Pelodiscus sinensis: one gene and its partner. The protein of the gene in region 1 interacts with the protein of each later gene in a biochemical or structural test. Links are inferred from orthologs where the notes say so. Each region holds a gene or a part of one and is shown on either strand. Other genes may lie near its edges.

Region 1 (3,748 bases):
CAGTGATTCTTTTTAATGCCAGAGGTGTTATCAATATGCTAGATGATTTCATGGAGGTTAGGTCCATAAAAGGCTATTAGCCAGGGGGTAGAAATGGTGTCCCTGGCCTCTGTTTGTCAGAGGCTGGAGATGGATGGCACAAGACAAATCACTTGATCATTGTCTTTGGTCCACCCCCTCCGGAGTACCTGGTGCTGGCCACTGTCGGTAGACAAGCTCTGGGGCTAGATGGACCTTTGGTCTGACCCAGTATGGCCATTCTTATGTTCTTATGTATTTTGGAATCCATCTGCCTTGATGTCCCCATCCCCGGGAACGGGTTCCCTCTCTCCTGGACATTAGGGAAAACATTCATTGAAACTTTTTTCCCCCCGGATATTCCAATCCCGACAAACACAAAGCATCTTATTGGCATCTCACCTGGAACAGGTGATTCAGAATTCAGTGCCCACTTTCTGTTACGATCGCATCAGCTTCACAGGATTGGGCATGCATGTGGGACGCCCAGATACACACACAAGCACACAGGAAAACCCAAGCAGGGCACCAAACTTGGCAGGTGACGCTCTTTCAGAACTAACGTCCCACTGTGGCAATAAGGGGCAGGTTTTGGCTGATGTATCAGCTGAAATCCTTTAAGATCCTGAGGGATTATCTCATCTCAGGAGGGAGGAGGGAGTTAGCTCGACTGTCCTACCCAATTCCAAACTGAGTAGATACATTTTGCCGCTCTACATCCCCTTCACTCCTGCAGATTCAACTGAAGGAGTTTTCCCCTTCACTTTGTCCCTCAAACTGTTGGATAGTGTTGTTCTGTAGTATTAGGCAGCTAACACTGCCCACCTCCCCCGACACCAATAGGACCTTGTGAGTGAAGTTACTCCTGTATATGTAAAGTCTCTGACGGGCTGCAGGATGAGCGGTCCTCGATAAGATACTGTTATCTGAGAACTTTTCACTAAATATGGTGTATTGATGGGTATAAAGTAAACGTGCCAAATTTGCAAGTCCTAGTCCTACTTCCGCTAAGACATCAGAAAACAAACACTAAGTAAAGATTTAGGTTTCTGCTATGGATTATGTATCTACATCCAACATACTGGGCAACTCCCTTGGGCATCAGTAGCTAGAATTTCCTGTGTAAACCATGAGTGCTAACGAACTACAAAATGTAACTCGCCAATAACACTCGGCCCCACCGTATTTGACTACAGTAAACAGCTTGACACTCATCAACAGCAGACAAGATGGATGAGGTGGGAACATTTTCAATAAACAACTTGCCTTCAGCATAAAGCAACGAGGCTAAAATCTTTCTGGCCTTACCTACTTCCTTGTCATAAATACTGAAACATGCAAAATAAGCATTTACCTGTGACCCGCCCCCTCACCACAACTGACTGGAGTCCTCCCCTCTGCAATTTGTAATATAAACTCCTTTCCAGACTATTACATTTGTGGGTGAGATAGAAAACAATTGGCCGGGTAAACTATTCCTGGGAACAGGATTCATCTGGAGAGGGTGGGATTTCCCACCCAAAGCAAAATACGATTAAAACGGAAAAAAATGCACCTTGTTTCGTTTATCCAAACACCTTTGAAAGTGCTAAGTCTGACCCAGGCCTCTGCCATTGTACAGAACCATGGGAGGAGTGACTCTAGGCAGTGCCTAGCCACACAGCTCTCTAGATCCCAGCCTGCACCTTTAGGGTCTGCAGGAGATTGTCATTTTCCTAGTAAGTAAGCCGCATGGAGCTTATTTTTGTAAAGCCACTGGTTCCGTGGGACAGCCCCCAAGGAAGCAAGGGAGTGAGAGAGAGAAACCATTTTAAAAACCTGCCAAGGTCTCCCCTCCCTGACACTCCCGGGGCAACTCGATTTTTCTGGCAGGTCTGAAGGGGGGGGAGAAGGAGTCAGAGTCCCCGGGAAAGAAAAGCAGCGATCGCTCTTCGGGGCGGGATCAAACCCCACAACCCATGGAAACAGGCTCCCTACTGAAGTGGCTCTGCCGGGCTGAATCCTCGCTAAGGACTCGTGGGACCTAGTCGCTGCCAGGATCGCTGAAGTCGTGAACCAAGGCTGCACCCTTTTACCCCACTGCCCCCCTCCCTCCCCCATGGGAGGCTCATTCCTGCGTGCTCGGGAGCTCCCGGGGCAACCCCGCGCCGATCGGCAGCGCTAGGTTCGCTCTCCGGCTGGATGCACGGGACACAAAACTTCTGCAAAGTTTGTTGGGTGGGCCCCCCTCTTCGCCCCCCCCCCCTTTCCCGCGGCTGGCTGGGCGCTTCCCAGCTCCGCTTTCCTTCGCCCACATCCCAAGCTCCCCCCCCCCCCCCTCGGAACTTTCCCTCTTTCCTCGCGCCCCGCACAAACTTTTCCCCAGCCCGGACCCACCGTCGTGGCTGCGGCCGCCGGGCAGGCAAGCGGCGAGGAGCAGCCCCATGCAGAGCCAGCCGCTGCTGGGGGGGGTCATTGTCTTCACTGCGGGCTGCAGCCCATGGCTCCGGGGTCTCTGCCGCGAGGGGGGGGCGGGGTCCCCCTGGCTCTGCGAACCCAGCGTCGTGCCCGCGCGGCACTTCCTCCTCGGGGCGGCGGGGACGCGCCGCGCGCCCCCGCGCGGGATTCCAACTCCCCTGGGAGTGGCGAGGCGCGGGCGCGCCCGGAGCCTGGCGCGCGTCCTGGGGGAGCAGCGCCTTGGATGCCCCGGCTGGCTCTGCCCTCCGGGGGGCGCGCCCGGAGGCTGCAGAGGGAGGAGGAGGAGAGCGAAAGATAAAAGGGCCGGGGGATGCCCCCTCCCTGGGCCATCTCTCCCCGGAGAGGCGAGGCGAGGCTCGCCAAGCGCTCCGAGGACCGTTCCGGAGCAGGGAGCTTCCTTCCCGAGCTAGGGGACCGGGCCGGGGATATTAGCCCCTGCCCGCGCCGTCTGGGATCCAGGGGCGGGTCTTTCTCAACTCTGCAAACACCTGCAAAAGCAGCTGGGTTTTCAAGTGGAGGGGCGGGGGAGTTCGACTCTCTCGCCCCATCTTTCTGTGCCCAAAGGGGTGGGGCACCTCAGGCCCGGGGCCTCCTAGTTTGCCTGGATCTGGCCCCCGAGGCTTAGGGCGCCCCCCCCAACACTGGGGAGCCTACACTGGTGCTTCAGCCCCCCTCCCTGCAGAGCTGGAGTGGGCAAAATGTACTAGCCTAGCCCCCCAAGCTCTGGTGCAGGAGGGGAATGTGGAGAGGGTCTTTCTCTTTCTCAGTGAGGGTTTGTTGGTTTGCTTGCTTCTCACCAGTGTGCTGCCCCCGACTGATTTTTCTCTGGATCAGCATCCCCCCCCCAAAAAGGTTCCCCACCTCTGGCCTGAACGGAGGCTGAGGGTTTGAAACTCTGCCGTGACTGCGGGTGTCGGACCCTTCTGAAAATTCTGGCCTCCTGCTCTACTTTGTAAGGGCGCTGAGTGCCCAGAGGCAGGGAGTCCGTGGAGGGCCTGAAACAATCGCCCGAGGGGCAGGCACTGGCCTCGGGGGAGGAGGTTAACTCAGAAAACGAATGAGCGCTCATGGCTGCTCCGTGTGAACAGAGCTCATTTTGCTACTGGCCAAGGTGGGCGTGAACAGGATGGTGCGATGGTGCAGAGCTGGAAGTAAAGAGAGGGGTTTGGTTTATGAGCAAAAGAACGGCCACACTGCATCAGCCCGGTGGCCCATCCAACCCAACCCAGCATCCTCTCTATGATGGTGGCCAGATGCTTCAGAGGGAATGAAC
Region 2 (3,748 bases), on another chromosome or scaffold:
AGAGCTCTTGCCAAGACAGCTTCCACTTATAAGAAAAGAGCGTAGCTCTTGCGCAAGAAGCCAAGTGTAGACGCTCTCTTGTGCAAGAAAGCTGCTTTAACTATAGAATTTTATTGCGCAAGAACTCCTGCCACGCATCCACACTGCCATGGGCGCTCTTGCGCAAAAGCACATCTCACACATGGCAGTGTGGACGTGTTCTTGTGTAGGACTCCTTGCACAAGAACCCTTGCGCAAGAAGTTCTTGCGCAAGGAGCCACCAGGGTAGACATAGCCAATGTGTATAGCAAAGCAGAGAAATACCAAACATTAAGAATGACTAAAAGTGATTAAATAATTGGATAGATTTTTAATTTGTCTGCATTTTTTATTTGTACCCAAGCATGACCAAAAACATACACCCAAACTGCACATATAGCAAGGCTGTTCTCCACTGACATATACAAAGCAACACTAATGAGAGTACCCAAAAACGTACACAAAAGAAAGAGGAACCCTTATTGTACTACACTGATTGGTAAAGTTTATTCACTATATAATCTTTATTTTAAATTCTGTCCTGTGTTTTTCACGAATACATTAATTAATTTTAAACTAATTTACCTTTAAAGTACACAGGCTGTTGGATTCTGTGGATTTTGGAACTTCAAATGAAGTATTAAGAAACTACTCCCTTTAACAACACAGTGCATAGACATAGAGCATTTTTTTAAGGGTGGACATTTGTTGCAATGAAACAGTTAAAACCTCTCCTGCAACATTAGATTTGTGTACCTGGACCTGTTTTACAGGTTTCTCAGGAGGGAAAATAACAATTTAATGTGACAGCACACAGGAGCTAGGCGTAAGAGAGAAGATCAGAAGTTTGCATAAGTGAGCTTCCCTTTTCAAAGTGCTGCTATTCAAGGGATCTTTCAAACACCCCTAAAGGACCATTATGGTGGAGCAGGAGATGTTATCAAAATGTTTTTGTCCTCAAGAAAAGTGTAAGTGACCACGTTTGATTTTTATATAAGAATCAAAAACATTACCTGACAGATCAAATGAGAAAAAAAGCAATTAGGTATGGGAGAGGAAAAGGAGAAGTCTTAAAACTATAAAGAATGAAGCAATTAACTTTATATTTCTAGACTTGCAATATAATCAAGGTTTTTACAGCACAAAAGAGAAGGACTCTTGTGTGAAGTATCTTGAAAGGTTTTTTTATTTAATGTTGGATTTATTGCTTGTATTAGCAAAGAACTGTATTGTAGTGTCTGCCTCAGTCGAGAGGACTTGAACAATGAGTTTAAATATCTTGAGTGACAGACTGAAGTGCTGTGAAAGCATTTTGCCACAACAGTGTGTTTTTTATCTTGCAGTGTCTTTTTTTTTTTTTGACACTGTGAAAACTTATTTTTTTTCTGAGTTATTGGCAAGCTTTCTATCAGCTTGTCCAAATGTCAGCTGAGAATTACAATGCAGTGACAGGAGTCTTAAATTGATCCAAGAAAATAACTTCCAGAGCTTCTATACTAATTTCTAATATTTCCTTTAATTGTGGTAAATTAAACAACTAGTGAATGATAAAAAGTCATCATGAATTTAGGGTTTTTTTTAATGTTAAGAAATCAACTCTCTTCCAGGCAATAGCAAATAGAACTTTAGGCACTACATGAACTAACCATGTAGCAGGAACCTGAAAGCTTAGTTGGCTGGAAACTAATGTATGTGGGTTGAATAACTTGGAGCTGGAGCTGTTTGAATCAATTCATCAGGGTGGAACTGGTGTGCTGATGAATCAGTTGAACACCCTGCCACAGTGAAGGACTGATGCAGAGACTGAAGGCATGCTACGCACTTTCAAATTGCTAGGTTTGTTTGGTTTGGAAGCTTAAGTAGGATGACTCCAGTTAACATTTTCTTCTAGGGCTATGTCTACACAGCAACATTATTTCAAAATAACATAGTCTGTGTCTACACAGCCGAAAGTTATTTTGACATAATGCTGAAATACTGTCAAGCTGCAGGACATCTTACTTTGACTCCTGTAACCCTCATTTTATGAGGAGTAAGGGAAGTCGGAGGAAGAGTGCTCTATTTCAAAATAAGTGTTATGTAGACAGCACCAAAACTCGAAATAAGCTATTTTGAAATAAGCTATGCAATTGACATAGCTCAATTTGCGTAGCTTATTTCGAGTTAAGCCCTGCTGTGTAGACACACCCTTGGAGAAGGATCAGCTTGGTTCTGAAAATAGAAATGTAGCTTGTTTCATGTTCTTTGTTTCAAGTTCCTGAAAGATTTTTTTTCTTTACACTGATTAAATAAGAAGAGAATCGGATAAGGTTGTCATTAAAAAGGAGAATCCTCCATGATAATTTTGTACTTTTGTCTTGTTCGTGACTGTTGGCAGAATCTTTCTGAACCTATTACTGAAGGTTTTATAGATCCCAAAAGGAAAGACCTAAGACCAGATCCTCAGCCCTTCTGCATCACTCAGCTCAAAGAGACTGTAAATTGGCTTAACTAGCCTCCTGAAGATAATGCTTGCATACGGAAGGTTTAGGGAGACCCAATAGCTATTCTCCTGCACTCAGGCCTCTGTGTTTGGAATGTGGTGGTTCACAAGGAGAGGTGGTCAGAGCACAGTTGTCCTCAACTGACAAGCTGCCCCTTTGGGGCCATAGGTAGCAGGAAGCAACTTAGAATGAACAGGGGATACTCTGAGGACTGAACCAATCCTTGGATCTCCCTGGCAAGCCTCTAGAATGCGGACTTAACGAGGCAGCATTAAGTCTTCTTTGCACCCATATCAGTCTTATACCAGGCTCAGCTTGACAGGCAAAGAAGCAGTCCCTACAAGGCATTGATGTAAAATGAATGCAATGGGTATTTTCAGGCTGCCCCAAATTATATTTAGAGTTGCTGTATTGTGGCTATAAAACTATGATTCTTGATCTTTTTTCTGTATATTGTACCTTTTAAGTTTATATGAAATCAATGTTCAGGAAGCAATGACTGTCTTGTTTCTGCCACAGTCTGTGCAGTACAAATTATTTCGAAATAGTTTTTGTGTATAGAGGCGTTATTTTGAATTAACTATTAGACATACCCTCAGAGAGTGAGGGGGAGACATTCCTGCCGGGATGGGGGGCAGAGGCTGAATGGCTGACCAGTGCATATGAGCAGCTGGACACCACTGCCATTTGATGAGCACATCAAGGGGCTGTATTATTCAGGGAAGCCTTGGGGGAGAGTTTCAGCCAAGGTGTGGCTACAGCAGCCACAAGTGCAGCTGAGAGAGGCTTCTGGAGGCTAATTATTTTGAATTAGCAGAACCAGATCATTCACACTAACACTATTGTGAAATAACAATTTCGAAATAAGCGTTATTTCCCAAGGAAAATAGGAGTATATATATTGAAATAATCAGCCCGTTATTTCGAAATAACAGGCGGGTAGCGTGAATGCTGCGCTTGTTATTTCAAAATACTAACTTGGAAGATCTATGATTTAATCGATATGGATAGTATCGCTAATGGTGCAGATCTCAACTTTTCCACGCCATCCTGTTTTGTGTGGTTCTTGTCCATATTCTTCCATGAATCTTCCATAAAGGACCCACACAACGTGCTGGAGGCCTTCCTCTTGTTCTTTTTATGTCTCGTGGATATCAGTGGAGTATGCGTGCTACCCAACTGTTGTCTCTCGGTCTCGCTACATGGCCAGCCCATCTCCTTTTCTGATTGTACATAACTTAGATATC

Evidence for each region. The genes of interacting proteins can lie anywhere in the genome.
Region 2: of the proteins of ERBB2 (region 1) and PTPN3, one has a biochemical effect on the other in vitro, tested with the Homo sapiens proteins (2 studies listed by IntAct, with this or other methods). The link is inferred for Pelodiscus sinensis from reciprocal best matches to the Homo sapiens genes ERBB2 and PTPN3.

What each region holds. Positions count from the first base shown.
Region 1 is NC_134739.1:11,545,233-11,548,980, forward strand, and holds the start of ERBB2 (receptor tyrosine-protein kinase erbB-2), read right to left. Parts: upstream 2,600-3,748; 5' UTR 2,474-2,599; coding exon 2,395-2,473; intron 1-2,394. UniProt on the Homo sapiens protein: Protein tyrosine kinase that is part of several cell surface receptor complexes, but that apparently needs a coreceptor for ligand binding. Essential component of a neuregulin-receptor complex, although neuregulins do not interact with it alone.
Region 2 is NC_134712.1:148,659,492-148,663,239, reverse strand, and holds the start of PTPN3 (tyrosine-protein phosphatase non-receptor type 3), read left to right. Parts: upstream 1-834; 5' UTR 835-937; coding exon 938-986; intron 987-3,748.